Linked DNA regions of Rhinolophus ferrumequinum. The protein of the gene in region 1 purifies or fractionates together with the protein of each later gene. This does not show direct contact. Links are inferred from orthologs where the notes say so. Each region holds a gene or a part of one and is shown in the gene's direction. Other genes may lie near its edges. The genes, in order: SMAD2, TRIM33, SMARCC2 and SKIL.

Region 1 (8,064 bases):
AATTTGAGTGAAAATTATCCATCCATTCAAAAATATTTATTGAATGCCTCCACATACGCTTGCATCAGGGATACTATGGTGAACAAAACAGGTATGTTTCCTGCTCTTGTTGAGCTTACATTCAGTGGAGAGTGGTAACAAATTATAAATCAGAACAGACATTAATAAACATGATAATTCCAGATAGTGATGAATTTTGAAGAAAAATTTAAAAGGTAATATGATAGTGTGACTCGTATATGTGTGGGGGTGTTAATCTAGATTGGGGAGTCACGGGACAGAGAATAGGTAGAAGAAAAAGCCTTCTCCAGGAGGAGCAGGTCTTTCCCAAAAAGTGGTGGAAGGATGGATCTGGAGACAGACATGTTTGTCTACTATTGGGCATTTAGGTATGGATAGGAAATTCGCCCCTATTTTCACTGCGACATAGTCAGTCAGGATATATCCATAGAAAGTAATGGTAACAGGGAGATTGAAGACAGTAGCAAAGGCATGTGTGAGGGTGGAGACCAGGGACAGGTAGAAGAGTTAGTGAGCAGGGTCAGAGCAGGAAAGGTAGCCACTATGTGTATAATCCCTGGCACTAAGTGGCCATAGAACTTTGGAGAAGACTGGTCCTTGGTTTCCTCAGCTACAAAATAAGAGCATTGGTCAAGCTCCGTGATTATATGAAAGCAAGGAGGAGTTGATACGAAACTGCTATGTAGCTATATATTTTACTCATTGAAATATACCATTGAAGAAGTCTTTAGGACCCATTAATAATTGGCTCTCTCCCACCATTAATTAATTCTGGCCACTCATCAGCTAACATAATTGTCAGATTCCTTCAGCAAAATGTCTTTTTCAAAACTGAGGACTGTTTACAGTAAGGACAAACAACTGGGGCTCATTAATTCAATCATTAAGACACTGATTATGCATCTATTGTCTACTCTAGTCAGTTATGTTAAATAAGCTTTTCAGTCTTCATCAGAACAATTATGCTAATATGCATGAAATTTCCCCAAGAGTATTATACCTCCACACACTTATCCTGCCTAGCAGCAGCCTGGTTCAGTCAATATTGTCACACAGAGATAATTATAAATAAGGCATAAGACCCTACTGTTGACATATCACTACCAAATTATCCCGCCTCGCAACAGAACTTTAAATAATTTGTACATTTGTTTTTTTCAAGGTTTAGACATTGGCCCATTTAGTTTTTTACTAAAATATGTAGATCTTAGATAATATTTAAATGCCCTCATTGCATTGGATTTGTAATTTTCCAAATCATATTTGAGCAATCACTGGATTAGCTATCAATGTTCAATCGATCCAATGATCATTTATGCCTTTATATGTGCAGCCAAGAAATATTAATTATCAGATGTCTGGAGAATGATGAGAAATATAACTTGTTTTGCCAAGTATTTTTCTCTCAACCAGAGCCAACTTCTCTCTCAATTTCTCTCTCTTTAAATCTAAAAGACACTACCTGTATGGTTTGTATTCTTGAGTGATTTTGGCCATAGAATAATAATTTTCCATCGTGATCAACCAATACTTTTATGACAGGCACATAACAGATACCTGGTAAACACTTGCTAGATTCAATTCTTTTTTCTTGTGTTTTCTTATGTATGCTTCATTCTGTTTCCAGCATTTCCCATAATGTGTTAAATAGTTTTCTTTTTTTTTTAAAGGCATTTCTGAGATGCTCTTTTTTAAAATAAATTTTATTGGGGAATATTGGGGGACAGTGTGTTTCTCCAGGGCCCATCAGCTCCAAGTCATTGTCCTTCAATCTAGTTTTGGAGGGCACAGCTCAGCTCCAAGTCCAGTCGCCATTTTCAATCTTTAGTTGCAGGGGGCGCAGCCCAACATCCCTTGCGGGAATTGACCTGGCAACCTTGTTGTTGAAAGCTCACGCTCTAACCAACTGAGCCATCTGGCTGCCCCAATAGTTTTCATTTTTAATAAAAACTAGCATGTGAATAACGAATGTGTGTGTGTGTGTGTGTGTGTGTGTGTGTGTGTGTAGGTGTGGGTGTAGGTGTGTAGAGGCAGATGTACACATCAATATAAGTTCATTTAAAACATAAAATTTCATTGTACTGAGATAAAAATCCAACTGGTGTTGGATTTTTTTCCATTATCATTTACAACAACAGTAACCCCATGCTTTTGTTCTTTACAATTTTTACTTAGGTTATCTCATTTAATCAGTGTCCTTTCAGTTGCAAATAACTGGATCTTCCCTTAAGATGTAGTAATGCCCATTGCAACTTAGTTCTACCAGGAGAGCAAATACAGAGATTAGATGTTGACAAGATAATCAATAGCTGTATTGAGAGCAGTTACAAATTGGAAGGATGGGGCAAAGCTGTGCAGAATGCTCGCAGACCTATGACACACATAGCCTTCTCCTGCTATACAAATGTTGTATTTCACCTTTCTTCAATTACTTAGTATTTTGGTAAGGGTGTAGGAAGACAACTGAGAATGAGATGCTGTCCTTGTACTTCAGAAATGTACGATCTAAATGGGGAGACAAAACGTACATACATGAGAAGCTAAAAAAAACTGCTCAAGACTAAACTAACAGATCAAGACATTAATTAAAGTAAATTCATGGTATGTATATTCTTCTGACCATGAAAGAAAATTCATAGCTGAGTGATATCCTTTGGGTTGGAGTAACCAGGAAGGGCTTTCCAGATTTAAAGATGAGATGGACTATGAGTTAGGTCTTTTGAAAAATCAACACATGGATATACTTTTTTGAAAAATTCAAACTACAGAAGAAATAATGATGAAATTTGAGTTTTCCACTCGTGACTTCCAGGTTCCTTTTCCAGAAGCAACTACCATCACTATTTTTCTTATGTGTCTTTCCAGTACATTTAACTACTTTTAAATTGATTCTGAATTGATTCTGCTTCCATTGATTTTGCAGTGTCATTAGTAATGAAGGGTTAAACTTGGTGTCTATCCACATAAAAATAAAATTCACTCAATATAATTTATACAGTAGGGACCTACTGATGGTACCCTATTTGAGGTACCCTAGTGGATTTTCAAGTTGATTGTTGCCACGGCAATTCCTGCTCCATCCGCCTTCAGTTCTTCAGTTTCTGTCTTGACCCAGTTTCTGTCACTGGTTTAGCTGCATTTCTAGCAGAGGGGACAGTACGCCTGCTCCCGTTTCTAAACCCTTTGGGGACTGCCTTGGTAGCCGATTGTCCCTTCTCCCCTTTCCTCAATCCTACAGGTCTAAGAAGGCGTCCTAAATAGAAGAGTTAAGGACCCAAAGACTGACACTTTGGAGAGATGGTCTAACTTAGACCTCAAGCATATCATCCACTTAAGTCACATACCCTTCAGAGTACCTAACTCCCATCCTAGTAGCAGATTCGTCTGGAATCCCAGCCAGCCCTGCTTTTGTTTCTACTCCTACTCACCCAAATGGACACTCAAATGTACACTGTGATCACATAGGAGAAGATATTTGTATGACCCAGGGTAGCTTTTTAAAATGGTTGTCTTGTACTAGTAGGAAGAAGGACCAAAAACCAGAAACAGCCTTTCTATTTCTAAACTGAAGAAGCCTTTGCCCTAGACACCCTCCCTGGTGGCTCTGGGAAGTGGAAGCAGAGGCTTAGGAGGTGGAAGAGCTCCACCAATTGGCTTCCTGGGTGTCCCTCACAAGCTATTTTTAAAAAGGGGTGAGTAGAGCTGTCTCTAAACTGACAATGGAAGAAAACCACCCTGGAGGTCAACTTTTGAAGGACGAATTTCTACTAAGTAGGTTCATTTTAGCATAAGTGCAAGCAGGCAACAGAAGGGAAGAAATGTTAACGATTATTTATTTTAACTTAAAGACTTGTGCTGTTCACTTTGATACTTATTTTATCACCACACAACTACATTTGAGTAGCTATCATTGCAGGTGAGTTCCATTTGCCAGAGATCACAGATTTGGAACAGAGCTGAATTCAAAACTACAGTTTGCCTACCTCCAGGGTTCATGCTCTTTATCACAACCTTTCCATGAGAAAAGTACTTCGATGTTTGAGGAGAGAGACGGTGGAAATGAAGATTTTGTAAGACTCAGGGAATGGCCAAATCTCTCCAGAAGGCACCTTCCTCAGGGAAGCCTTAATTTCTGAAAAGAGGGTATACTTCAAGAACTTTTTGAAATGGTCATTTGGTACTTCCTGCTTACTGAGATGTATTCTTAATGCCTCTTTCCCGCTTGAGTCCCTAATGAAATCCATTAAGTAAGGAGCACATGCGACTGAGCGCTGGACAGGGAGCCAAGAAAACCCGTGTCTTGTCTCTGCTACCAACTACCTGTGTGAAACCTTACTTTCTCTTCCACTTCTATGGTGTTCCCTGCCTAACGTAGTAAGTGCTTAATAAATACTTCAGGTGATTGATAGTTGGGGTCAATATTTCAGCAGAGATTAGGGTGTCCTAAGGTAAAAGCAAGTTACGCGGGGCCCCCACCAGCTTTGAGCAGCCAGTAGAAGCTTAGAGCTCTGCAGCGCAATGTGTGAAGTTGGGCCTATGCAATTTACCGGAACAGCGGAGAAATGAAGAGGAAGATAATCCAGCATTTGAGGGACATCGTGCTTATCTTTTAAACTTTACAAGGATCGTTGAGATCATGCATTATTAGCACCATTTTTAACAAAGAGAGAAACAAGATTCAGATTATTAACAAAACTACCTGGCATTCCCTATCCTGGCGCTAATGCCCATAGAAGATCCCCGCCCTGCGCTTATTTACATTTCGGACCCCGCCCACTCGCCCGTTCATTTGCATATGGGCGTGCCCAGTGTGGGTCGGGTACCGCGGCTCCCGCGGAACCCTTTTTATGTCTATGGTTCGTCCAGTCCTCTGGTCCAAACCCGGGCCTTCCCAGGGGATGAGCACGTGTCCACTCCCGGCTTGGCTGGAAGGTGGGACAGGCGGCGGCCCCCAACAGGCTCCACCCAATGGCGTTGGAGAGGCCGAGCAGGGGTCCAGGGCCGAGGCAATGAGGAATGGGTGATCGCCCGGGGCTGTTTTCCCAGCGCGGTAGGATGCGTGCTTTCTCCTTCCTCCCTTCCTAGAGCCTCTCCTGGGAGCGCGCGGAAGACGAAGTCGGCCGAAACCGCGAGCGTCCCACCCCACCTAGTCCTCCGCCGCCGACCGCCCGCCCGGCCGCGCCTCGCCTCACGCTCTACGGGGAAGGCGGGACCAATCAGCGAGCGACGTCTCCCTTCCGATTCGAGGCCCTCGACGCGCGGCTCACACCCCGAGCACCTCGCACGCTGATTGGCTGCGCGCGCCGCCGGTCGGGCCCGGGAGGGCGGGGCGGGCCGAAGGGAAAGGAGGTGGGGAGGTAGTAGCCGCGACTCTCGGAGCCCTGCTCGCGCTCTGGCCCTTCCCGGGCACTCAGCCTTCTTCCTTCCCTCCTCTGCTCGCCCCGTCTTCCGTGCACGGCGAGCGCTGCGCTCGGCCGGCGTGCCTCGCGCCCTAACGGGCGGCCGGGGGCGCCAATCAGCGGGCGGCAGGGTGCCAGCCCGGGGCTACGCTGGCGAATCGGCGGGGCTCGCGGCCCGGGGTGGGAGGCGGGTCTACCGCGCGGCCGCGGCGGCGGAGAAGCAGCTCCCAGCCAGCAGCCAGCGAGCGCCGAGCGAGCCGCCCGGAGGTGGGTGCGCCGCGCCGCTGCGGCCGGCGGCGGAGGGCGCAGGGCGGAAGCAGAGGTGGGCTGGCGTGCGCGGCTGGGTAGGGCTCGGTCGTCCGGGCTGCCCGGGGTGTGGGGGATGCGGGCGCGCGCCTGAGGGGAGGAGGGGCGGCGGCGGCGGGACGCGCGTCCCCACCCCCTCCTTTCCGCGGGCGGCGGCCGGGCTCGCGCCCCCTCCCCGCGCGCCGGGGCCGCGGGCCGGGCACTGGTTAGGGGGCGGGGCGGGAGGCCGGGCGGCCGCGAGAGTGTTTTCAGTTCCGCCTCCAATCGCCCATTCCCCTCTCCCCTCCCAGCCCCTCATCCCGTTCGGAAGAGGAAGGAACAAAAGGTCCCAGACCCCCGGCTTTTACCGGGCGGGACCCGGAGCCTCGGTCCAGGTAAAACCGCGGCGCCCGGTGGGCCCTTGGGGTTAGGGGTGTGTTTGCGTTGGGCTGGGGTCGGTGAGGCTCGCCCCATCGCACGGCCACTGGAGCTGGTGGCTGGGGTGTGGCGAGGTCGGGGCAGCAGTGCGCCCGGGCCCTCGGGGTGCGGGAACGCGGGGCTGGGCAGGCCGAAGGGAAGGGGTCCGCGCCCGGAGCTGCCTGCTGCCGGGTCCGGGGCGGGGGCCTGCTGGGGCCCTTCCCCTCCGCCGCGAAAACACTGGGTAGTTTGTGATTCTGATTTTCAAAGCCGGAGGGACCGAGCTCTCGTTTCGGGAGTTGTTGGGAAGCTGTGTTAGTAGCGTGCAATACTTTGCTTCCACTTTTTTTTGGTCGTGTAACCTTTGTTAACCATTATAGTCTCAGGGTTCTGAATTGCTTGTGTGTACTCTCACACAAACATGCACACGGCTGATACTCTGTCGAGCTCCTTCTCTACTCACTTGTAAAAGTTGCTCTGTGAGTGGAGCCTGTTAGTTTTTATCACACACCTTTAGAAGGCACGCTAATTGATCTCATGTATTTCAAACTTGGTTTTCAAATTTGCAACTTTAATTGTTTTGTTTTCTCCTGGGGGGATACTGTCCTTGGGTTGGATACTTTTGTCCTTTACTTACTTAACCCTTATATGGTTAATGGTTTCCTTTTGGTCCTAAACAAACGAAAAACAATGCCTAGGTTGATTTTGTTATTCCTTCCTCTCGACCCTTTAAATAGCTAAATACTACCAGTTTGTTGTCAACTAAACCTTTATTTAAGAAAACGTCTCCAGGTAAAATGAAGTTGGAGGTAGCATTTTCCATCAGTCATGTCTTGTTACAGTTTGGAATATCCTAAATTTTAAACTTTTTAAATGACACATGTAAAGTAATTGTTGATAAATAAAAGATCATGCGAACTTACTTGGAGTAATTTTATCTTTTCAAAACTGGTCCCTGAAATTTGAATTAACTTCCAGGATCCTGAATGATTCTATAATCTTAGTTCCTTTTCACTTTTTCTCTGATTTTATATGAATTGAACCAGTACCACTGATTGTAAGGATGTTTTTCTTGAGTCTAATAAGATAACAAATTTGCTATTACTCTGAAAATACCTTTTCTGTTCTAGTTTTGACTTGCTTTAAAAAAAAAGTATACTCATAAATCCAGTTAAATGAAGATTGAGGAGTTTTAATGTGAGTAAATAAGCAAATGTAGCACAGAGATGGGAGAAATAATGTGAAGTGGATTTCATAAATGTATCACAGTTTGAGGATTTTTTTATTTGCCTTGGGAAAACCACACAGGAAATCAATAGAATTGTTTGACCAAAAGGTCATTTAGCAAACGTTTATGGTAAATTCAGAAAGTAACACTGATTTTAAAGTTCCTTAGTTTTTGCCATAAAATTAGTTGTGGTAGTAAATAAGAATAATTCAAGTCTTCTGGGCATTTTTAAGGTGAGTGCCCACTTATACTCTTCTAATGTCACAATTAATTGACTTTAAAGTAGTTCATTGGCTAGTATTAATGTAATGTGATTGGAAACATCCATTTCTGGGCTTGTTTTAGTAAGAAATTGTTCTTAGAAAGAGCTTTGTTTTTATACTTTGTAGCTATACCTTTTAAAGTGATTTCACATTGTAGGTGTTCAACAAAAGTTTGGTTGTTCCTAGTCATAAGTGGTCAAATCTACGATCTGTAAGGTTCATTAAAAAAATAGCTGTGTAAGAAACTGCAGGGTAATTTTCTGTTTGTGTCCTGTCAGACTTGGTATGTGTTTTAACTCTTTAAGTAGGGATTTGGGGATGGTGTCATATATTTCAGCAGAAATTCTCTAATAGAAACAAAGGTTTCTACTGAAAGATGGCAAAGGTCCTCTTTTCATTTTCATATTGAAGATTAGAATCTTGCTGCTGCTGTAAACTTCACATTGGGGGG
Region 2 (7,644 bases), on another chromosome or scaffold:
AAAAAATACAGTAACTGAAATAAAGAATATGTTAGAAGGAATCAATAGTAGATTAGATGAAGCAGAGGATCAAATCAGCGATTTAGATCATAAGGTAGCAGAAAACATCCAAACAGAACAGCAAAAAGAAAAAGGAATCCAAAAAAATGAGGATTGTTTAAGGGGCCTCTGGGACAACATCAAGTGTACCAACATTCACATCATAGGGGTACCAGAAGGAGAAGAGAGCAAGGAATTGAAAATCTATTTGAAGAAATAATGATGGAAAACTTCTCTAAGCTGGCAAAGGAAATAGATACACAAGCCTAGGAAGCGTAGAGTCCCAAACAAGATGAACCCAAAGAGGCCCGCACCAAGACACATCATAATTAAGATGCCAAAGTTTAAAGACAAAAAGAGGTTAAAGACAAAGGTTAAAGCAGCAAGAGAAAAGCAGTTAGTTACCTACAAGGGCACTCCCATAAGACTGTCAGTTGATTTCTCAACAGAAACTTTGCAGGCCAGAAGGAATTGGCATGAAACATTCAAAGTGATAAAAAGAAAGGACCTATAACCAAGATTACTCTACACAGCAAAGCTATCATTTAGAATCAAAGGACAGATACTTTTCCAGACAAGAAAAAGCTAAAGGAGTTCATCGCCACCAAACCAGTATTACAAGAAATGTTAAAGGTACTTCTTTAAGAAGAAAAAAAAAAGACAAAAAAATATGAGTAAAATGGCAATAATTACTGGGGGTGCCAAAAAATGTATACAAGTGTACACTTTGGTCAACGTTTCTCAAGCAGTCATTTGCTGTAATCAGAAGTGTCTGGATGCTGATGGTAACCACTTTGAGAACCTCTTGTAATTGCAGAAGTCAAACATGACTTGTATTCATCTTTTGTTATTGGTATTGAGTATTACAATTATATTGAGTATTACAATTTTAATAGTTTTCCTTTCTTAAAATGTGTATACATTTTTGTGGCACCCTCTGTATATACCTATCAATAATCACTTTAAGTTGATTAAATGATCCAATCAAAATACATAGGGTGGCTAAATGGCTAAGAAAACAAGACCCGTATATATGCTGCCTACAAGAGACTTCAGCTTGAAAGACACACACAGACTGAAAGTAAAGGGATGAAAAGAGATATTTCGTGAAAGTGGAAATGAAAAAAAAAAAATAAGCTGGGGTAGTAATACTTATACCAGACAAAACTGACTTTAAAATAAAGGCTGTAACAAGAGACCAGAAGGATCCAGTAATTCCACTTCTAGGTATTCGTCCAAAGAAATTCGAAACACTAATTTGAAAAGACATATGCATCCATATGTTCACTGCAGCATTAGCCAAGATCTGGAAGCAACCTAAGTGTCCATCAATAGATGAATGGATAAAGAAGTGACACATATAAAACGGAACATTGCTCAGCCATAAGAAGGAAATCTTGCCATCTGCGACAACATGGATGGACCTAGAGGGATTATGCTGAGTGAAATAAATCAGACAGAAAAAGACAAACACCAAGTGATTTCACTTATATGTGGAATGTAAAAAGCAAAATAAATGAACAAATAACACAGAAACAAACTCATAGATACAGAGAACATTTTGATGGTTGCCAGATGAAAGGGTTTGGGGGGATTGGAGAAGGAAGGGAAGGGATTAAGGTACAAATTGGTAGTTACAAAAATAGTAATGGGCATGTAAAATATAGCTTAGTTATTGTAATAACTATGTATGATGTCAGATGGGTACTAGATTTGTTGTGATCACTTCATAAGTTATATGTCTAATCACTATGTTGTATACTTGAAATTAATATATGTCAACTGTAATTGAAAAATAAAAATATTTAAAAAATAAAATAAAATGGATGCTGGAGTTTGTTAAACCAGTTTAGTGTTTACTGTCCTGTTGGATAGATTTAAAAGTAACGTAATAATTTAGAAATATTAGTCGTAAAATATCAGAAATTACACTCTTTGCAACTATTTACACTCATGATGAAAATTTGAGTCAACTTATGTTTGAGGGGAGAAGATAGTTTTTCAAGTTCTTTTCAAGGGCATAACACTTAGAAAATTGAGGACCATTTTTGTGTATGACCTTGTCTCCTCAATTCTCTTATCTCATGTTCTACTATTCTTTCCCTTATTTAAGCAACTCCAGACACACTGACTCCTTGGTGTTCCTGACAAGCCAAGAATCTCCATCTGTCTCAGGACCTTTGTACTTACTGTTTGTGCCTCTGCCTGAAACACTCTTCTGCAAGAGAGCCACAAGGTTTGTTCACCTATCAACAGAGGCCTTCCCCAATCCTCTCTAATCTCTTTTACTATTTTTCTTCATAGCATTTATTACTCCCCAACATATATTTTCAATCTTCCTCCATTAGTGTCAAAGGAACTAAAACAGAGTTTGGAGGCTGTGGGGACAGAGCCCCAAAAAGCAGTTTCCAGGCTCTCGGCCTCACATAGAAAGGTGCTGGCTCGGGTAGTAAATGGCCATCGACTGTGATCAAATGGCCATCAGCTGTGGCTAGTTGGCCGTCAGCTGTAACCAGTGAGCAATTGTCCACTAATATAACTGCTGTGGCTACGCAAGCAAAAAAAGGGGAGCTAGCAAGAAGATGGTGGCTGAGCCTGCAAGCGGCACAGTGAGGGTTGAGAATTGTGTTGCTCCTGGTCCCTGTGTCTCCAACCCAGCCGCCAGAGAGAATATAGTGGTATGACTCCCCTACTTATGGCTCTGTGGATGTTCCTTTTTGGCCTAGCCACATCCTGCGTTCTTGTGTGGGGAGTGGGACCAGAGACCCTGCAGGCCGTCCTGTGTGACACTTGGCGTAGTCGGCAGGATCCCCCGCAGGCCGCCCCGCATGACACATGGCGCAGTGAGCAGGGTCCCCCGCACGACAGAAGCTTTGACTAGAAATAAATGATTTATTCAAGGGTCTTCAGGTTTGCAAACTGGAAACACAACTAGGCAAAAACCCAGAAGTGTTCCAAAGAAGAAAGAGTTCTTATAGTAAAAAGTGCATTTTTGAGAATCAGTACTGCAGCAATAGTCAGTCCTGCACCTAAGATTGGTCCAGGACGGTTATCAGTCAGATGTCAGGTGGTCTTAATTGGTGAGTACTTTGGGTGTAATTAGGGTTATCTGGAAGTCGGATATATGTCCAGGCATTCCTGCAGGCTTGTAAATTTCAAAAGTTTAAATTCACAGGCTAGTTAAAACAAGAATAGAATTGTTTCCTCATACCAAAATCTACTTCATTTCAGTAATTTAGCAGCTTGACTATAAGTGATTCCATTTTATTTCTTCACTCTATTTCTCTTTAGATTGCAAACTCTTTGAAGGTAAGGATCTCCTTTGTCTCGTGCTGTAATCCTAGTTTCTGAAACACTACCTGATACATATAGTAAGAGGTCAGTATTTTTGAACGAATAAATGAAAAATGTTTCCAGGTGCCTTCTTTTAAGGACTTATACCAGCTCAAAGAATAAGTTTCTTGGGAACACTGTCAGAAGAAAGCACTTCATGACCCTAACATTAAAACAGCTGTTGCACTACATAAAAATCCCAAAGTACGTTTCTCAAATACAGATAACCCTTTCTGAAAGCTTCTATTACCAACATTTTTAGGGCATTTGTAATTCAACTCGCGCCAGGACACTAAGTGGGACTCCCAGAACATAATATTGGTTAGATCGGTGACTCCCCGAACTGATACACATCAGAATCAGCCGAGGCGACTTTTCAACATCCATCAGCCATCTCCCCCACTTCCTGATGCAGGTCTGGGGTGTGGTCTTGCTATCTTGGCTTTGAAAGAGCTCCTCAGTTGATTGGTTTTCCGATACGAAGCCACGTCTGAGACTCAATCACCTTAAAAAGCTAAAAACAGAGTTTCTTCTTCCCCGGGTTTTTTCAGCCTATTTCTGGCAGGCCCCCATTTAAAAAAAAAAAAAAAAAAAGGCCTGCTTACTTTCCACCGAGGGACAATCAACCACAAGAAATGGGCAGGTTAAAAAACAGAGACCCAGCAGGTCTGTACCTCCGGGCCGGGAAGCCTCGGCGTCCCACCGTGCAAATGAGGTTTCCGCGGAGGCGCGCCCACCTCTGGGGATGGCGTCGCTAGTAGGGCCACGCTCGCTCTGCAGGAACCAGCCCTGGCCTCCTACCCTTCCCCACTCTTCTCCCCACACCACCGTCGCATCTGAGCTCACAACCACCTCTAGAAGGAGGAATTCAGCGTAAACGGCCTCTGCCTTAAAAGCCAGCTGAATCGCGGCGGCGCGGACGCAACGCGCGGGCCCGGAGGTCGGGAGGGGAAGTTAAGACCGCTCCGCGCCCGCGCCCTGAGTTCCCGCCTCCCTCAGAGGACGTCCGTGCGTACGTGCGCGCGCACCGCCTGGCCCACTGCAACCGCGCGGCGCGAGGGCGGGGGCACCGCGTGCGCGCGCGCTCTCGTCCGTTCGTTCGCCTGCTCGCTCTCGGCGTCCGCTCTCGCTGCGGCTGCGGCTGGGGCTGGGGGCGGCAGCGGCGGCGCGGGCGGCGGGCGGCGCGGGGCGGTCCGGCGGGTTCAAAGAGGAAAACATGGCGGAAAACAAAGGCGGCGGCGAGGCTGAGAGCGGCGGTGGGGGCAGCGGCAGCGCGCCGGTAACTGCCGGGGCCGCCGGGCCCGCGGCGCAGGAGGCGGAGCCGCCTCTCGCCGCTGTGCTGGTGGAGGAGGAGGAGGAGGAAGGCAGCAGGGCGGGCGCGGAGAGCGGCACGGCTGGGCCCGACGACGGGGGGGTGGCCGCGGCCTCCTCGGGCTCGGCCCCGGCTGCCTCAGCCCCTGCGGCCTCAGTGGGCCCTGGAGTTCCCGGGGGGACGGTATCGACGCCGGCCCCCGCTCCAGCCTCGGCTCCCGCTCCGGGTCCCTCGGCGGGGCCGCCTCTTGGACCTCCAGCCTCACTCCTGGACACCTGCGCCGTGTGTCAGCAGAGCTTGCAGAGCCGGCGTGAGGCGGAGCCCAAGCTGCTGCCCTGTCTTCACTCCTTCTGCCTGCGCTGCCTGCCCGAGCCGGAGCGCCAGCTCAGCGTGCCCATCCCCGGGGGCAGCAACGGCGACATCCAGCAAGGTGAGCGGGAGGCCCTGTCCGAGGTTTGGGCTGAAGGGGATCTGCGGGGCCGAGGAGGAGGTGGGGACGGAGGTGCTGGGGCCCAGGGCTCCTAGGACGGCGCGATCCCGAGGAGTCTAAGAGGTGAAAAGACACGGCCCCTGGGACAGTTTCCAGAGGAGCTGGACCGCCAGAGATAACGCGGAGGGTGAAGGGAGGGGTGCAGGCAGCCGGAGACGGGGGGAGGGGACACCGCTGCCGGGGAGGTTTGTGATGTTCGCGTACGGGCCGGGAAGGCATGGACTCGGGCCGAGAGCAGGTTCGTGAGCTCTTGGACCCGTACTGGGGAGAAAAGGGGGTGTGGGAAACGGCTGCAGAGAAGCGTTTGGGGAAGGAAGGCCCGGAGCCGGGAGAGGTGTTGAGGAGAGAGGGAATAGGTAAGAGATGAGGGCTGTGAGTACGAAGTACCTGGTGGGAGAGGACTTGGTCTGTTCCAGACTAGGGGAAAGGAGGACTGGGATGAAATAAATAGAGCAGGATAAAGGGCAGTGGAGAGCTTGAGGTTAAGAGGAGGCATCTGATAGAAAGTAATTTTAAGATGACATTGGAAAAGAGGAACTCTGGCAACGAAAATGACTGTGAGGGCCCTGCATGGTTAGGGGAAAATCCTAAGGTTTAGGGTTGAAGGAGAAATGAACTTGGAAGGGAATTGGGAATTGGGGAGAGCTGGGCACGGATTTTAGTTCCTTGTACATTAACGAGCCCCTAGTGTTCTGGACACTGTAGGATTGACTAAAATACTCAATGAGGAGTTCATTCACGGTCTAACGGGAAATAAATGTAAAACCTACAGCACTTGAGGTGGGTACTTGCTGCAGTGGTTGTGGCACAATCAAGAGAAGGTCAGGAAAACGGCACTGAAAAGGAAACTCTTGAGCAGGGTTCTTGAAAGGTAAGTAGCTCACTGGATTGGAGAGTATTCAGGGTACAGGGCACGTTACACATCCCTGAAGCTAAGAGATGTGGAAGGTGATTGGTAGAAATTAGGTTGGATTGATGGGCTGAATAGGCAATGCCTTATCTGCAACCCTTGGGACCAGGTGTGTTTTAGACTTCAGAATAGTTTGGAAATTTTTCTTTTTTGGGGGTAAGGTTAATAATCCTCCAGTAGGGTCTGGGTTAACACATTATCAAACACATTACTATTTCTGTAGTGAAACATACAAATATTACACCAATGGGATAGACAATAAATAGTCTTCTGCAATTCAGGGTGAGTTTTGCGAATTTATGAAAAGAAATTTCAAAGCTTCTAAGTTATAGAACCTGCAGGTAAGGATTGTGGACCTGTATTAAGGGTTTTGGATTCATCCTGTAGAGTGTATCCTGTACAGTGTAGACATAAGGGAGTCCCTGAAGGAATTTTATATGAAGAGAATAAAAGTATTGCATTTGTGATCCACAGAGATCACTTGGGGGCATGTGGAAGGGTAAAGGAAGTCAAGGCTGGAGGCAGGAGCAATTAAGAGAATCTTGGCAGTAATCTAGGTAAGAAATTAGCATTTGGAATGGGTAGTAAAGGACTGATATCAGGTGTTAAGGAAGGGAGCATTTTGCTATGGGAGAAAGTAGCTCTGGGAGAAAGCAGCCATGGGAATTGTGAGTAGCCGTGGGAATGAGATTGGGGGGGGCACATTAAGATTGGTGTGAGGGAGAGACAACTTGTCTAGGCTGAGTTCCAAGTTTCTTGTTTGATGGGTGTCAGTGCTATTAATGCAAATAAAAGAGTTCAGGCATACAGCAGGTGTGTGTGTGGTGGAAGAGGGATATGATGATTTCAGTTTTGGGTGTTTTGGATTTGAAGTATTATTGAGACATGCAGGTGAGGATGTTACGTTAAGAATAAGCGTTTGATTGATGGAGAAGATACAAAATGATAATGGGTGTGTAACTAACTGCTCGTGGCCTCATGAGTGTAGTGAGACATGCGGGATTCACTGTTCTTATGGGAACTTGGATTAGGTGGGAGATTGGAGGGAACACAAGATGAAAATTGTGTTTGATTTATGTGGCTGAGGGACTGAGGTAGTGAAATTGGCTCTCTGATATTTCTGTAGGAGAGAGAATAATAGTCTCTAAATTCCCTCTTCATTTCTCTGTCCTTTGTTTTTGAACTAGGAGAAGTAAGTAGATGGGACGAACTACTTTCAAAGTAATGTAGCTTTCTAACTAGTATCTAAAATAAATTAAGTCTGGAAGTCACAGTGTTTTCAGGCAAGGAGTCTAGAAAATAATTTGTTAGTAGCTGTATTAACTTCTGTGTGTATGTTTCACTTTGCTCTTTAAAAAAGCGAACATGCTGTTCTTGAAGGAACACTGGTTTTGGAGTCAGGGGACATAGTTCTGCCCCTTAATTGTTTTCTGGTTCCCTCAGGTTCATCATGTCTCTGTCCTTCTGTTTTTTTATCTCTAAAATGTAGCTAATAGGCCTTCACTTATATCTCACTAAAGAAAATTAAATAATAAACGTGAAGATGCTTTTATAAACTGT
Region 3 (7,947 bases), on another chromosome or scaffold:
TATCATCTCCATTTTCTATGTGGGGAAACAAAGGACAAAATACACACAGCAAAGAACTGGGATTTGAACCCAGAGAGTCATTCCAGAGCCTGAGCTCCTAACCACTGCACTCAATAGGGGGCCGTAACCAAAGATGAGCCACACATAAAGACAGGTTTCTAGTCTGTGAATGAGAAGACCATGTCATTAACCTAAATAGGGAGGAGAGGATGAGCAGGTTTCAGGGCTGAAGTAATGAACTCATTTGGGGAACATTGGATTGGAAGTACTTCCATAAAGAGGTGTTTAACCAATAATTGGAAATGTGGGTCTGGAGCTTAAGAGCAAGAAGTTAGGGTTAAAGATGTGGCTTTAGGAGTTACCTGCCCAGAGGTGATCAAGAAATTCTAGGAATATAAACATTAAAGGAAAGAACAGGAAGAAGCCTAAGAAGGAGACCTGGGAGAATTCCAGGAGTAATCTAGAACAAAATCTGGAAAATAGATAAATGATAAACTTGGCTAATGCATCAGCTTTTTAAAAAAGTAATTTTGAAGTAATGAATCATTTAAATGTGGCTCATAAACTAGCTGTGAAGGAGTTCCAGAAATGTTTTGTACAATGACAGCATTCCTGAAACAAGTGTCAGTTGAGATCATTTTAGCTCAAGTCCTCTAATGATTTGCTTTACTGGATAAACTACAGAGATCCAAGCCTCTTAGCATTTGGAACAAGTCAACAATTTGGGATTATGTTAAATTCTTGCGTGTTAGTTTCTCCCCCATTAGCCTTTTAGTTACATAAAAGCAATTCTGATTAAGATCTGAGAATTTGTAGCTTTGATCAGTTTACGGTGGGATTAGCTAGTCTCTGGTTATGAGGTAGACAGAAGCAGCTTCATGAAAGAAGGAATTAAGCTAGCACCTGATTAGATTGGGGTCTCTTACTGGGAAGAATTAAGGATTAAAAAAAAAAAAGTGATTTAGGCAGGGTGTATTGATAATTGGAGCATGTATTTAATCAGATGGGGCGCTGAAGTTCCTGGACATGGGAATAATATGAAGAAAGCAGTGTTTTTAGAGATTTAAGTGTGGCGAAACTGGGGCACTTAGAAGGCCACTGGAGGAAAAAATGTCAGATATTTCTTAAGGTTGGAAACTAGATGGAATTATGAATAGTAGCATAAATGGAAAAGATTGAGAATGCGATTCTGGGAAAGGAAGAGAAGTTTTGTTTGTGTTTTAGGTGACATTAGGTCAGCTATGTAGACATATAGGCAGTTGGAGATAGAGGACCATGGTTTGGCTGGGAGGCCATGCCTGGAACAGTGGCTTGGGATTTTTTTCTTGGGAAGAGGGAAAAGAATGAAGTTTTAGTAGAATTCCACAGGAAGAGGGAGAAAGCAAATGAGATGGAGAAGGTGTTCTAAGAGAAAAACAATGAATACAATGTCTCTGAAATCCATTAAGAAATCAATGGTTTCAAACAGCAAAGGTTTCTACCTTGGGGTATTAAGATAGTATGGAGCTGGAGGCAGAGGGTATACATTTCATTCAAGAAAGGAGGTAGAAAATTTTTGGAAGTGTCAAGTGAAAGTGTAGTTTTGTTTGTTCTGAAATAAGGATTGATTCAGTGGAGTAGAATTTGAATGTGTTATGGAAGGTTTATTTATGGAAGGTTCCCTAGGAGGTTGAAATGAGTGGGATTGCAAGCCTAGACGAAGAAGGTTATTTAAGGGCAGACAGATGAGCAAGGCCAAATACTGAATCAGAAACTGAAGAATACCAGTGGGTAGAACGTAATAAATATGTAAGAATGGTGAGAGAGAGGTGGGCCTGATCGTGCAACACAAAGAAAGAGGATTTGTCTGGATGGAAGGGGAAGGATGAAAGAATCGGGGAGTTGGGGTGGGCTGTGGATATAGTGAAAATTGGAAATTATCTACTGTTCATGAAAGTCCAACGCCGTGGCCTCTAGTCCTCTAAAATTACAAGGGAAGCATTTGAGAGCAAAAGGTAGTATCTCCCAAATACCAAACCACCTCTGTCTGTTTCTGTTCTCCTTCTCAGTTCAGATCCTCCATTTTGTAAACCGTGGAGCCTTCTTCCTTTCACAACATAGTTGTCGGTTGCCCTCTGCTGGTCCTTGTTGGTCTTGGCTCTCCAGATATTTAAATCTGAGAGCGTGTGCAAAATTGGATGGTAGAAAGCTGAGCACTGAGCTAGTAAGATTCTATTACAGTACATATTTGATCACATCTATATAAGACCTAGTACAGGAGATACAAACAAATAAAACACACAGTCCTAATTCCCAAGAAGCTTAGAGTCCAGTCTGAGTGAAGATTAAAACAAGTACATATAAATACTGTAAAAACATCTATTTACTCAACAAAATTATTTTTTTATTGAGGAGGTTATATGTGCCAAGAATTTACATCTACAGGGGAAGAAAGACTTCACATAGTAAGATTAGGGCGTAGGATGTGGTGAGTGACAGGTGGTTAGAGAAGGCTTCCCAGGAGAACCAACATTTAAGTGGAGACTGAGTAGAAGGTGAGGATGAGCAAAATTATTGCAGGCAGAGAACAGCATGAACAAATACTACAGTAGGAATTAAAAGATTGCCATGGGTGGAATGTAGAGAATATGGAAGAGTGGTGAGAGAAAAGAGACCAGGTCATGAAACACCAAAAGCAGCTATGGAAAAGTTGAAGGTCTCGGGCATGCTTTAGTGGAGCTTTGCATATATTAACTTCTGTAGTCCTCACAGTGACCCCTATTTTCCACATAAAGGCTCCAGCAAGTGGTCCAGTCTGCACTCACTCCTGAGAAAAGTGGAGAGACTTGAACATATTTAAGAGGTAGAACATAATTTGTTTTTATTTTAATTTTTGCAGAGGCGTGTCAAAGGAGATGACTTGCATGCAATCTAGTGGATGGTGGTGGTAGCCTGATAGGTTCCAGCTGGAGTAATCAAGAGCCTCAAAGAGAAGGGGTAAAAGGATGTGCAAATGGAAAGTGATCATTCTGTGGATTGGAGGGGGGGAAGGAGACAGTGGTGAGGGTGACCTTGGAAAGAACAGCGTGAGCAATGGTATGAAGGCGGGAAATTCCAAAGTGTAAATGTTTAGAAAGCTCTATGAATTACCCTTGAACCCCCTGTCCTTTGGGGATTCTTTTTGGAGAAGATGCTGCTGTACAAAAAATGAAATACAAAAAGAACATCCTCCACAAGTGTCCTAGATATCCCCACAATCAGAAATTGTGGGTAGGAAGAACCACGGGAAGTGAGTATAGCAGCGTGACAGGTTAGAGAAGGGATTAATTCTCTAGCTTGGTTAACTACCTGACACATAATGAGGACTCAATAAAAAGTGATAATTATCTTCCCACACTAGCTCCAGCTGGATCTGCAGTGTTGGTTTCAGTAGGTTACTCTCCCTAGCTCTGTACCTGAGGTGCATCTCCTCGAGGAAATCCAAATGAGAGAATGCCCTGTTTCTTGGGTCTTCATTTGTAATCAGACCTACAAGATGTGACTTCTGGTCATGAAATCCAGAGGTGCCCTCTTTTCCTGGAAACGCCAGTTTTGACTTTTATAGCACAACAGGCATTTACATACCCAAACAAAACTTAACCCTTCTTCAACCAAATCCTTTGCTATTCCCTCCCAAAAGCATGAAACAATGTATGCCAAAGCTACAAGTCTGAAATTGCCTTGTATTCTAGCAGCCTATAAGGTTGTGCATAATTAAGCTTCCGTGATCACCCTCATCCCCCCCCCCCCCAAATCCAAAGGTGAAATCTTGAGATCTTCTGGCTTTTCTTTCCCAGACAGAAAGGAAAGTGCACGAAAGGCACGTGCGAAAACCAGGGATTCCCTTTATACTTCCTGAAGTGGTAGCGCGGCGGAGCCCCGGAAAAAGCTAACGTCACGAACAGGATTCGAACCTGTGCGGGGAAACCCCATTGGATTTCGAGTCCAACGCCTTAACCACTCGGCCACCGTGACTTCCAAAACCGCTCTTCTCCTCACACTTACAGCAGGAATCGGCATTGCGGGGAAGCCGTGCCGTTTCCACATACCCATAGCCACAGACCAATACATATATAACATCTTGTGACCCCCCCAGCCCCCGCTCCTTACCTCTCTCTACGCCACTCAAAGGAAAAGAGACGGGTCTCAAGGAGTGCAAAGCTATTTAGGAGGTGATGGCGAGACCTGCAGAGGAAGCACTTGGAGGGAAGGGGCTGGGCCCCGAGGGTGGCGGCTAGGGGACTCCTCGAGTTAAGGAGTGAAAAGGAGTGCTGGGACAAGGAATTAAAGGTGAAGAAAACTTAGGGTTTAAACTGGGAACTCCTGGAGTTGGAAGGAAGGACGAGGACGAAACATCTTGGGGAAAGGGGATTCCTTGGGATTAGGAGGTCCGTGGGGTTAGGAATGTGCAAGGTGACGACCACTTGGAGTGGGGGATGCCTCAGACGATGGGCATCCCATTAGGATAAGATACAGGTGCCACTTCCCGAGCAGAGAGGCAAAAAGGAAGAAGATTCCACGTCAGGTCAAGAGCGGTCTCAGGAGAGTGGGCGCCCCCTCCAGGAAGCAGACACCTCGCCAAGGCTCCCTCCGCCGCCGCCGCCGGGGAGGCCGCCAGGGTCGGTCCTGCGCCCTGCGCTCCGCCGCCGCCGCCCCCTGCCGGCCAGCAGGGGGCGCTGCGCGGGCCGGGGCCGGCCAGGGCGGCGGGAGGCGGCTGCCGTGGCGGCGGGAGGCGGCGGGAGGCGGGCGGAGGAGGAGGTGGAGGAGGCGGGAGCTGAGCTGAGCGGGGCGGGCGGCGGCGGCGGGGCCCGAGCCCGAGAAGATGGCGGTGCGGAAGAAGGACGGCGGCCCCAACGTGAAGTACTACGAGGCCGCGGACACCGTGACCCAGTTCGACAACGTGCGGCTCTGGCTCGGCAAGAACTACAAGAAGGTACGCGGGCAGGCTGCGCAGAGACCGGGGGCGGGACAAAGGGACCGCGGCCCCGCAGCGCCCCGGGATCCTGCCCACCCTCTGGCGGCCCGCGGCCCGCAGCCCCTCCTCCGCGGTCTCGGGAGCAGCCCCCACCGCGCCCTCCGGCCTGCGCCCCTCCTCCAGCCTCTCACCGGCCCCCCCTCCGGCCTGGGATTCCGGAGAAATGCTGCGCCCTCTGCCCCTTGTTTTTCTTCACTGCCCCGGCCGGTCTCGGTGCCAGCAGCCCACCCTTCCCTGAGCTATCGCCTTCCGGGCTTTTCCGGGAGAGATGGCCAGCGGTGGACCCGGTGTCGATCCCCCCCAATCAGCGTGCCCGCCACGGTGCCCGCCAGAGCCCCTCACGGAGCCAGGTACCAGCAGGGCTGAGGCCTCCCTGGTGCTTTGTGTACGTTCAGAGAGAGATGATGAAAGCAGGAGGGTTAACAGCCACAGAGCAGGCCCTTGGCTGCTCCATCTGCCTGAAAAAGGCCCCCACCCTGAGATCACCTGTCTGCCATTCGTCCCCACCTCCAGCCAAGCGACAAGAAATCCTCTTTGGGAGCCAGGGTATAGGAGTTCCTTGGCAGAGACCCCTTCTTAAACCATTCCTCAGTTGCACAATGCAGTCTCCCTCCACCTGGTCTTGAATTGCCTTGGTTGGGGGTTCAGAGGCTAGGGCACTCTTTATACCTCTAGCCCCCAGCACCATAACTGGAGATAATAAGGTAGTGAACAAAGAGTTCAAGAAGCCTTGCCTATCTTTTTTACCGAACCTTTTCCTGGTGTTGTCTTTGTCATTAGGCCTTGTTGAAAGGAACATCTAAACATATGGTTTTTCTCTGGAGATGGTCTGCCTCACTTCCTTCTCACTACCCTGAGAGGGATTCTGTTTCTGGCTTTCCTTCAGCTCCCCAGTTCTTCCTGCCCAGCTTTGCAGCCTGTCAGAAGTGTGATGAGTGGTTTAGGAGAATGCCCCTCTGTTCTTGGTTATGAGCTCTCAGAGGTCTCTCTGGGTGTCAGGATCCTGACAAATAGCTGCTGGGTCTGTGGCTTGTCTGCACCCCAGTTTGAGGCTCTGGTTCCCAGGCTTCTACCTTTGACCTTTTGGAAGGGAGATCAGTCTAGGGGCTTAGTCTCTGGCCCTTAGGGGAGTGACAGCCTGTGACCTGGTTCAGCTTTCAAGCTCTGAGCTTCGTCGTTTACCTTTTCCTTCAAGGATCTCTTTACACCTTGCACTGAGAAGAGCACTCTTCTCTGTGATTAGGGTTCAGGAAACGGTTCAAAAGGCAAAGAGAAAGTTAGCGTCCTGGCTCAGTTTTTAATTAGAAGGCTAGGATGCTAGGTAGCATACTATGGAAATGTTTAAGAAGGCCCAGGGTTACTTGTCTCAGATAAGGTTTCCTCAGAAAAGACAGGTGTTGTCTTGCTCTTTCCCACTAGGCTAAGTAGTAGCTGGTCCTTGTCGTTTAGGAGGACCTGCAAAGACATTTGTGCCCTGTTCCTAGCAGAAGCGGAATGCACAAGCTCCCTCTCTGTTTGCCCAAGCTCCCTCTCTCAGTCTGTTTTCCCTACCTCGTTTCCGTGCACCTTTCTTATTAGGCCACATTATAGGGGGAATCTTGGACTTCCACAATGTTACCCCAAGAAATACACTATTGTCTTGCTTAGAGCCTCAGAGGTATTGCTTTCATTGCCTGTCGAATCTTCAGGATTTTACAACCCTCAGTGCTTTTGGCTAGAGAGTTAGGGTCCTGCAACTCCAATTTCAGGGTGTAGCCAAGGCCCCCCCTTGTCCCCAGCACCCAACACTGGTAGCCTGGGCTGGAGGCAGCAGAATTGTAACTTCCTGGTGAGGGGCGTAGAGGGCCTCCCTTCTACCATTTTCGTTATAGAAACTTGACATGTGGGGGAAGAAGATACAATTTTCTCTGCCCCAGATGCTTCCAGAGCTCCTGGGAAAGTAATAAGGGAAATGGTGGACAGTTTTTCTGGGGTCTATTTTTCTTTTCTTTCTCTCTTTTCCCCAGTATATACAAGCTGAACCACCCACCAACAAGTCTCTGTCTAGCCTGGTTGTACAGTTGCTACAATTTCAGGAAGAAGTTTTTGGCAAACATGTCAGCAACGCACCGTTAACCAAACTGCCGGTGAGTGCAAAAGCAAGGGGGGAATCCTCCAAACTGGGGAGGGAGTGTTTTGTAAATTTCATGATTTTTTGATATTTGGGTAAAGTTTTTAGCATCTCTATCCTTGGTCAGCGCATTACTGCCTTGGTCTAGTCCCCAACTTACCACTCCCTTTGTTTTAGTAATACTTTGTACAACAGATTATCTCAGAGTGTCAGGTCAGTGCATGAAACTATTGTGTTATGATTAAAAGGATATGAGATTTGAATTTACACAGGTTTGTGTTCAAATCCTGGCTCTGCCAATTGGTGTCTCTGTGATCTTGGGTTAAACCTTTTGGGTCTCGGTTCCTTCATCTTTAGATGGGATTAGTATACCTACCTTGTAGGGTTTCTGTAATGGTCAGTGAGGTAACCCAGTAAGTGCTTGGCACAAGGTGGCTTTGTGAACATTGGTTTCTTCTCTCCCCTCTCCCAGGCCACATGATACAATGGCACGGGGTTTGTGAAAGGGTTGTTAAGTAACAAGAGAATTGTGGATGTAACTGTCATATACTTCTTCCCTGTCTCAATTTTGTAGATCAAATGTTTCCTAGATTTCAAAGCAGGAGGCTCCCTGTGCCACATACTTGCAGCTGCCTACAAATTCAAGAGTGACCAGGGATGGTGAGATGCCCTCTCTCTATGCTTCTTACATTTAGTTTAGAGGGAATTTCCCCCTTTGATTCCTTGGGGTCGTTCTGGGGTGGGAGAGCATAGGTAGACGTCCTTATGAGTCTCTTACTTTGCTACATCAGTAGGCCTGACTTGCTAGGTCAGAAAAACGGCTTGGAGTCACAGCCAAAATAAG
Region 4 (8,161 bases), on another chromosome or scaffold:
CTTAGCTCCCTTGTCAAATACTAGTTGACTGAATGTTTATATACTTATTTCTGGGCTCTCCATTTTGTTCCATTGGTCTATTTGTCTGTTTTTATGCCAGTAACATAATGTTTTGATTACTATAGCTTTATAGTATAGCTTGAAATCAGAAAGTATGATACTTCCTGCTTTGTTCTTCTTTCTTATGATTTCTTTGGCTACTTGGGGTCTTTAATAACATAAACTTTAATCCTACTTCTTTACATCCAGATTGAGCCAACATAGAATTCAGATTTGAATATCATGTGTAATATTTTTCACAATTCAATGGGAAGGATTTATTTAGCTATGTAACCTTGAGCACAACTGCACCAGTTTCTTCACTTGTAAAATGGGGTAATAATAGCCACTACTTCATAGGGTTGTTGTGAGGATTAAATGAGTTTTTACATGTGAAGTGCTTAGAATAGAGCTAAATAGTAACCACTATATAAATGTTAACATTATTATTTTTTCATGCATTGTTTCTTAAACTGTAGGCTGCAATGCATTAGTAGTGAATTGAAATACAAAAACACAGGATGGAGCAGGATAAAGTATCAGAGGGCACTGCACATAGTAAGGATAAGTATTACTGTGGGTTGTGATAAATATACCACAATGCTTGGTACAATGCTACCTATATATTTCAATATTTGCTCTGTTTTGGCTAATCTGAATCAGTCCTTATAGCTTATTTGAATGAACACAAAGAGCAGTGAGGAAATGAAGAATGGAAATTTCACTGAGGTGGGTCAAATGTACTTGGGTCTAACGCCTGTTCTGCAGCTGATCAGCAAAGTGGTTTGGCATGCAACCTAAGCCCGCCTCTACTCTTTTGTTGAAAAGGGAATTTCTTGTATGTATCTCATAGGAAAGAGTGAAGCACTTTGAGCTACTTATAGTCCTGCACTATATATTTGACAACACCTTCAACTTGCAGGTTTCGAATCAGGCTTGGCAACATCAGAGCTAATTATGACTCCTCCCCTTTATTTTTGGAAAAAAAAGCAACAGAGGAAATGTCCCTGATTTGCAATAAATCAAACTATGCCAAACTTTCTAAACACTCATGAAATTCCTAGAATTGACAATGAAATACACTTAATGTGTCTGTTAATTGATTTTACAGTTTATTGCAATTTAAACATTGAAAATTCAGTGATTTCTAACATGATCTTTCTCTATTTTACCATTTCTGGCTATTCTTTTCTTCTTACTTCCCTTCTAATATCACAGAGCCCAAGTTAAAACCTGAAAAACAGTTGTGTGGCACTATTCAGGAAGAGGAGGTTAGTAGTTTTTAAGCATCTGTTTCTCATCTTATTTAAAGCATGAAAATGGGAATTGGGATCTTGTAGTTCCAGTATTGACTTGGCAGCTAAGAGGAGAAGAAGCCCCGATGAGAAAGCCTAGTCTGTGATGAAAAAGGGACTTTGCACTAGCAGGCACAATAGCATTAAACTAATATGGGGAGTAAAGTGCACTGGGAAAAGGATAGGTAAGAAAAAGATTAAAATGCTATGAGGAAGTTAAAAAGCGTCATCATCATCATCATCATCATCAGCATTATAATTCTGACAAGTAGAAATAGATGAAAAGCTACAAAAGAAAATGAGATGGAAAAGGAAATAGTTGAGATTCTTCTGTGAAATTAAAGGACTTTGTAGCATCTGACTTGCTGCTAAAAAAGTTTTTCAAAAAGGTAGTTTTTGTTGAGGATCAAGGAAAGGGGGAGGAGAAGCACTAGAACCATCAAGTGACAACTGGTTTCTCTTCCTTGGAAAAGAGCATAAGGTGTAAACAAAAACACAAGCCGGTAACTGTATGCTAGATTAACATTTATTTGACTTTTTCTTTCCCCTCCTTCATAAATATAAAAATACTTTGTTTTTTTTAAAGCTGTCAATCAACTTGCAATCCTTGCATTTGAGTGGCAAGTTCTTTTTTTTTTTTTAAGATTTTTATTGGGGAAGGGGAACAGGACTTTATTGGGGAACAGTGTGTACTTCCAAGACTTTTTTCCAAGTCAAGTTGTTGTCTTTCAATCTTAGTTATGGAGGGTGCCGTTCAGCTTTAAGTTGTCATTTCAGTCTTAGTTGTGGTGGGCGCAGCTCAGCTCCAGGTCCAGTTGCCCTTGCTAGTTGCAGGGGGCGCAGCCCACCATCCCTTGTGGGACTCGAGGAGTTGAACCGGCCCACTGGCCCATGTGGGAATCGAACCGGCAGCCTTCGGAGTTAGGAGCATGGAGCTCTAACCGCCTGAGTCACCAGGCCGGCCCCACTTTATCTTTTTTTGGTTGCTCTTTATCCTATCCTTTTTGTTTTCATATTCATTATTAATATTAGGTCATTATCAACAGATCAGTAAATGGGGCCAAGAAGAAAGCATTTGCTCCAAATCATTTGCCCTAAATAAACCATTTCTCAGGTCACAGGGCAGAACTGGTCTTGGAATTTATAACCTCTAAATTCTTGGTTTCTATTATTACCAGATGGCCATAACTACTGAAGAAGAAATTCTAGACCACCTAGTACCAGTTAGTTTGGATCTTTTATTTGTACTGCTTAATGGAAGATGAGACAATGGGTAGGGAGGGTCCCTTTACCCTCCAACTCTTTTGCACACAGGCCCACCCTCTCACAGTGGCTTTGCTCAGAATCTGTCGGCAAGTCAAGAAAGTGTGGTCAGAGTCTATGTGAAACTCATCTAATAGCTATTTACTAACCAATACTTAGGTTGACTTCTCAACACCGATGAAGACCATCAGTATGTGGAAATTACAATATGCATTACCTCACAGTGCGTATTGTTTCAAAGGACTGTATTCTCTGAGTCCATTCAGTTCTGTTTCTGAGATAAAGAACCATTATCATTTGTTTCAGTGTTTTAAAGTCACATTACATACACAATCAATTTTACTGAAAATTTCTGAAAACCCTTAAGTAGGTCTGCAAAAATGTGTGAGCATCCCCATATGCATACGATCTATGTAAATGAATCCTGTTTAGTTTCACTTGCTTCAAACTTGTACCTTTGAGGCCAAGACCTTGGGAATTCAAGGGCAAAGTGAATTTTAATTTGGTACATTTTGTACTTTGATGAATAATGAAAAAAAAAATGCCCTCAAAGCTTGATTGGTTCTAGCCACATTTACCTGTCATTATTTCTCAAACCATTGTACGTGAAATCACTGGCACAAAAGATCTTTCAAAAAAACAGATTCCTGGGGAAAGCAAATCAAAAGAACAGGTCAGGGAATAATGTGTTTGATTTCTTAAAAGTCTATTTACTATCAATTTATTTTGGTCTTTAGGCCTTTGGACATGCTAGCAAGTAATTATTTTCATCGCTGATAAAATGAGTACTAAACATGTATTATTAATTGCAGTTTGGAATCACTTTTTAAAAAAAATTTGTCATTTTGGTTTCTAAAAATTGTTTCTTCTCACTAGACATTAGTCACTTGCCAAGAGTTGACCTGATGCCAAGTCCCAGGACTGTCCAGTCTTCCACATCAGAGCTTCAGCAGGGCCTTCTGAATATTCTCGCGGTTAGAAAATCTATCCCCCAGACTCGCAGATGCTGTTCTCTCCCCACTAGCTCTGCACACAACATCATTATCTTTGCCGAGCTTCTGTCTCTATGGCAATAACAGATGGGAAGTGCTGCGGAATTATTCATGTTCAGGAAAGGAGGCAGTCAAGAAGCAGGGGAAGGGGGTGGGTGGGTAGGAGAGGGGGCACGACCTCGGAGCACTGCGATGGGGGCGTTAAGGAGAGAAACTTGGGATTGGGGGTAATGAGAGGCTTGTGAGCCTTTGGTAGGTACGTTGGGAGGAAAACGGGGGGGGGAACTACGGCAGGCTCCAAATGTGGACCCTCGAAGCAGTAAAACCCGGAGAAATTGTTCGAAAATGGGCAAAAAGAAAAAAAGGGACAAAGCTCGACTCTTCTGAATTCTGTGCATTGCGACGTGGTGGACTATTTCAGTTCCTGATCTTGCGGTGGGGTGGAGAAAAGGGGATTTCTTGGTGTTTCGAAATATGACGGAGCAGATCGGCAGAGTTCTATATGCTAATTGCCTATCCTGGGGACACAGACAGGGAGGGTCACAGACCTGGAGGACCACCCTGAGGGTCAGAGCCGGAAGCTCTTACGTCGTATCTTTCCTCGTCACATCTTGTGTTCCCCTCCAAAACGAAAAACAAAAAACCCTCAGTATACACTGTAGAAACATGTAATTTCTACCTTTTGGAACTGAGAGAGCAGTCTGATAAGGAGGGAGGCTGAGAAGTAGGGACAAAAATGTTTTCTCCCGGTTTCGCCGGAACTTTGGCCAGCCCTCCGGCCTGGCCCGAAGGCGGATGGAGGTCAGTCGGGGGAAGGCGTCTGGGCGGAGGCTGCCCAGGCAAGGCGGGGGCCGCCAGGGTGGGGCGAAGCGCAGGCAGCTGGCTGGGCGGTCCGCAGGCGGGAGGCCCTGCGGGGGCGGGGGGGGTGCAGCCCGGACTCGCAGGGCCCACAAGGGGGGCGCCGCAGGGCGGCCGCTACCCGGCTGCCTCCGGGGCGGGGCGGCCCAGCTGCGGCCCTGCGGGGGGAGGGTCGCCCGTGCCTGACCTCGGGCGGCAGCGCTCGGCCCGGCGGGCCCTGCCTCCGCCCAGCCGGCTGCTGGGGTCGTGCACAGTGCACGGCGCGGCTGCCCTGCCCCCTCTCTCCCTGTCGCTCGGCGGCCGAGCGGCCAGGGCGCCCCCGGGTCTGGCCCGTCACCACAGAGCAGCGGGTGGGGCGGGGGCGGGGCGGTGGCGGCCCCAGACAGCCGGCTGGGCGACTCGAGGAAGGAAGGAGAGAGGGCGACGGTGGGGGTGGGGCGGGGAGGGAACATCCTGTCTGCGCCGGGTGCACCGCAGACAGCGCCGCGCGCCAGCCGCCCAGACGGCGCGCGGGGCCAGGAGCGCCGGGCGCGCGCCTGGGGGGGAGGGGCGCGCGCGCAAGACGACGGGGCGGGGGGAGCCCTGAGGAGCCACAATAGGCCAGACGGCGCGCGCGTTCCCGAGGAACTGGAAGCCGTGAGGCGACGGTGGCAGGCCCGCGCGCGCGGTGCCGCCGCTGGCTCCGTTCCCCTCCCCTCCTCCTCCCCGCCGCCCTCGCTCTCCCCCGGGCGGCCGGAGACGGCGGCGGCGTCTGCGGGAAGCCGTGTGTCTCCGCAGTGACGTGGGCGGGCCGAGGGCTCGGTGACGTCAGAGGGCTGTGTGTAGCGATGTGTGTGGGGTTCGGAGCGGCGCCGGCACAGCCGAGGGAGCAGGCGAGCGGCGGCGGCGGCGGCGGGCACAGGTGCGGCCCTGGCTTGCTGTGGGGACGCGGCGGGAGGCAGGGGGCGCGCGGCCCCCGGGGAGCCCGACGGCAGCGACGGGGGTAGTGGGGAGTTAACAAAGCTCGTCGAGCTTCCCCGGGCGTGGAGGCCGGAGTCGGGGGTCCGGATGCGCGGGTCCCGGGTGGGGTCGGGGCCAAGGGGGGCGCGGGGGCGGGTGTCCTACGGCGGATCCTGCCTCGCTGACTCCGGCCGGTGGGCGTGGGCCGGAGAAGGGCTCTGCACTTGACCCGAGCCGTCGGGACCCCGGAGACTGGGACACCCGTCAACACCGCCCTCCCCCCACCCCCGGTCACCCCGCAACGAGTCTGCGCTCCGCGGGGATGCCCCGGGCTAGACCGGGTTGGTCGGCGCTCCACCCGCTCGCTGACCCTTCTCCCTCTGGCCCCCGACGGGCGGAGGTGTAGCCTTAGGGGTGCTGGGGTGACACCCGAGAACTTCCCTGGCAGAGGGTGCACGGGGGATTTCCACAGTCCTCCCCGCGGCCTCCACAGTGGGGCCGGGGTAGGATGGCACTTGGGGTTTCCTGAGACCGCGAGTGGGGGTTGGGGGACTGCACTTCCACCACTTCCCACTAGTCCCTTGCACACCCCAAGGCGTCCCGGGTCCCTGTCTTCCACTCCTCCTCCTCCCCCTCGGGTTTGAAACGGGTGGGTGGCTTTGCGTGGGCGGAGGATTTCAGGGTTTGGGGGACTCCCCCATTCTAGGTCATGCCTCCTGCCCTCTTCCCTTGGTTTGCGTTGGCTGAGGTGTTCCTGTGGTGGGCGAGAGTCAGTCAGTACGTTGACTAGTGGCCTTGGTCCTTCATCTTTTGGATTTGTTTTAAGATAAATTTCTGGGAGTTTGGGAGGCAAAATTTTCTATTTATTGGTTTTCTTTTGGATTTTCTCTCAGGAGAGAAGTAGAAGAAGAATCTTTTTCCTTCCTCCATTTTCATTCTTTGTGAGGTCTGTCTGCCTTGTGCTTTCTGTCCCGGATTAGTCTTCTTCAAGGATGGAGATGCCCAGGCGTGGAGGCTATAACTTTTGGCTTCCATTAAGCAAATTCACTAACCTTTTAAAGGAAAGTTAATTTTTATCTCCAGTCCTTCCAGAAAAAGAGCACACTGACTAGATGAATCAATGCACTTAAGCTTGTAAGTTAATTGCATACGGTAGATATGTTAATTCGTATCTGATATTTTGGGGGGAGGAAATTGGTGTTTTTTTTTTTTTTAAGTTAAGCGATGAAGTATTGCCTTGTTTTAGTTAAAATGGCATAACTGAGAAGCCTCTGGTACTGAGTTTTGGCTGAGATGATATGTTTAAGGTTCTTCCGGTTCTGAGTTGGAGTACTCCTCTTCCTTTTGAGGGTATTATTGCTCCCTTTACCCGTTCTCCGAATTGTTTTTCTATTTAAATGAAAGTTCTCATTAACTGGTGTTAGATTTAAAGAAATCACTCAAGTGTCACCTTTGGAAAAGTGAACTCAGTTTAAGATTAAGAAACTGGTTTCAAACTGACCCTTTGGCCTCTGGAGCAAATTCAAATGTAACTCTTCCCCCATCCCCCTTCTCTTTCAGAGTAATTAAAAGAAGAATGAACGTAATCCTTGAAGATAACTGGGCAATTTTTCTTTAAATCACCTTTAATTATAGAAGTACAAGTGGAGTCAGAGGCTCTTCTTACTGGTGTGACAATTTATGCAAGCCTTCAGTTTGTCAACACAGAATGACAGATCATCATTTTTAGAGAAGATACTTTTTCCTTTTTTGGTGTCCTTGGTGCCAGAAGTTAAATTTGGGTGCATCATTTTGACTTGTTTTTGTGTCTAGGTTTGGATGACACAAGTAATTGCATAAACTTTTCACTTGTTTTGCTTAAAACCAAACCAAACCATTGCATTGAACCTGGAAATCTTGAATTGAGAGAATTGGTAACTTTTAATACATATCTGAAGAATTAAAAAGAAAGAAAGGCTTCCTCAGAGGTGTGCCTCTTTAAATTTATATTTGGAGACAAGAAATTTTATAGCACTTGGAGTGAAATTATACTAGAGTATAAGAACCAAAACAAAGTTGCAAAGTCTATTGAGTAATTTAGGGAGATCTCTTTTTGGAAATTCAAATTTTCTCTGAGAGTAAGCTATCATAAGTATTGGTATACATTTCTTTGTGCAAATAAGCAGCTAACAATGCAAATCTCACATTTACTTATTTAACATAATAGTTTTTAGCAATGGAAAACCTACAAACAAAATTTTCCTTGGTTCAGGGCTCAAATAAAAAAATGAATGGGATGGAAGATGATGGCAGCCCTCCAGTGAAAAAAATGATGACAGACAGACATGCCAATGGAAAAATGATGATAAACAAGATGCCCACAGTAAAGAAGGAACACCTGGAGGACTATGAAGCGCCAATGGAAACTGACGGAGAGCATGTCAAGCGAAGCTGTACCTCTGTGCCTGAGCCTTTACACTTAAATCCCAGTTTGAAACACACTCTGGCACAATTCCACTTAAGTAGTCAGAGCTCTCTGGGTGGACCGGCAGCATTTTCTGCTCGCTATTCCCAAGAAAGCATGTCGCCTACTGTATTTCTGCCTCTTCCATCTCCTCAAGTTCTTCCTGGTCCACTGCTCATCCCTTCTGATAGCTCCACAGAACTCACCCAGACCGTGTTGGAAGGGGAGTCCATTTCTTGTTTTCAGGTTGGAGGAGAAAAGAGACTCTGTTTGCCCCAAGTCTTAAATTCTGTTCTCCGAGAATTTTCACTCCAGCAAATAAATACAGTGTG

What was found.
Region 2: the proteins of SMAD2 (region 1) and TRIM33 purify together in Homo sapiens (affinity purification with western blotting; 7 studies listed by BioGRID and IntAct, with this or other methods). This does not show direct contact. The link is inferred for Rhinolophus ferrumequinum from reciprocal best matches to the Homo sapiens genes SMAD2 and TRIM33.
Region 3: the proteins of SMAD2 (region 1) and SMARCC2 purify together in Homo sapiens (affinity purification with mass spectrometry; 3 studies listed by BioGRID, with this or other methods). This does not show direct contact. The link is inferred for Rhinolophus ferrumequinum from reciprocal best matches to the Homo sapiens genes SMAD2 and SMARCC2.
Region 4: the proteins of SMAD2 (region 1) and SKIL purify together in Homo sapiens (affinity purification with western blotting; 8 studies listed by BioGRID and IntAct, with this or other methods). This does not show direct contact. The link is inferred for Rhinolophus ferrumequinum from reciprocal best matches to the Homo sapiens genes SMAD2 and SKIL.

The regions. Positions count from the first base shown.
Region 1 is NC_046302.1:39,315,984-39,324,047, reverse strand, and holds the start of SMAD2 (mothers against decapentaplegic homolog 2), read left to right. Parts: upstream 1-4,982; 5' UTR 4,983-5,071; intron 5,072-5,272; exon of another isoform or gene 5,273-5,742; intron 5,743-6,016; exon of another isoform or gene 6,017-6,100; intron 6,101-8,064. UniProt on the Homo sapiens protein: Receptor-regulated SMAD (R-SMAD) that is an intracellular signal transducer and transcriptional modulator activated by TGF-beta (transforming growth factor) and activin type 1 receptor kinases.
Region 2 is NC_046305.1:45,233,989-45,241,632, reverse strand, and holds the start of TRIM33 (E3 ubiquitin-protein ligase TRIM33), read left to right. Parts: upstream 1-4,512; 5' UTR 4,513-4,588; coding exon 4,589-5,114; intron 5,115-7,644. UniProt on the Homo sapiens protein: Acts as an E3 ubiquitin-protein ligase. Promotes SMAD4 ubiquitination, nuclear exclusion and degradation via the ubiquitin proteasome pathway. According to PubMed:16751102, does not promote a decrease in the level of endogenous SMAD4.
Region 3 is NC_046293.1:55,536,272-55,544,218, reverse strand, and holds the start of SMARCC2 (SWI/SNF complex subunit SMARCC2), read left to right. Parts: upstream 1-4,766; 5' UTR 4,767-4,840; coding exon 4,841-4,951; intron 4,952-6,999; coding exon 7,000-7,119; intron 7,120-7,677; coding exon 7,678-7,763; intron 7,764-7,947. UniProt on the Homo sapiens protein: Involved in transcriptional activation and repression of select genes by chromatin remodeling (alteration of DNA-nucleosome topology).
Region 4 is NC_046285.1:71,964,366-71,972,526, reverse strand, and holds the start of SKIL (ski-like protein), read left to right. Parts: upstream 1-5,008; 5' UTR 5,009-5,348; intron 5,349-6,946; 5' UTR 6,947-7,601; coding exon 7,602-8,161. UniProt on the Homo sapiens protein: May have regulatory role in cell division or differentiation in response to extracellular signals.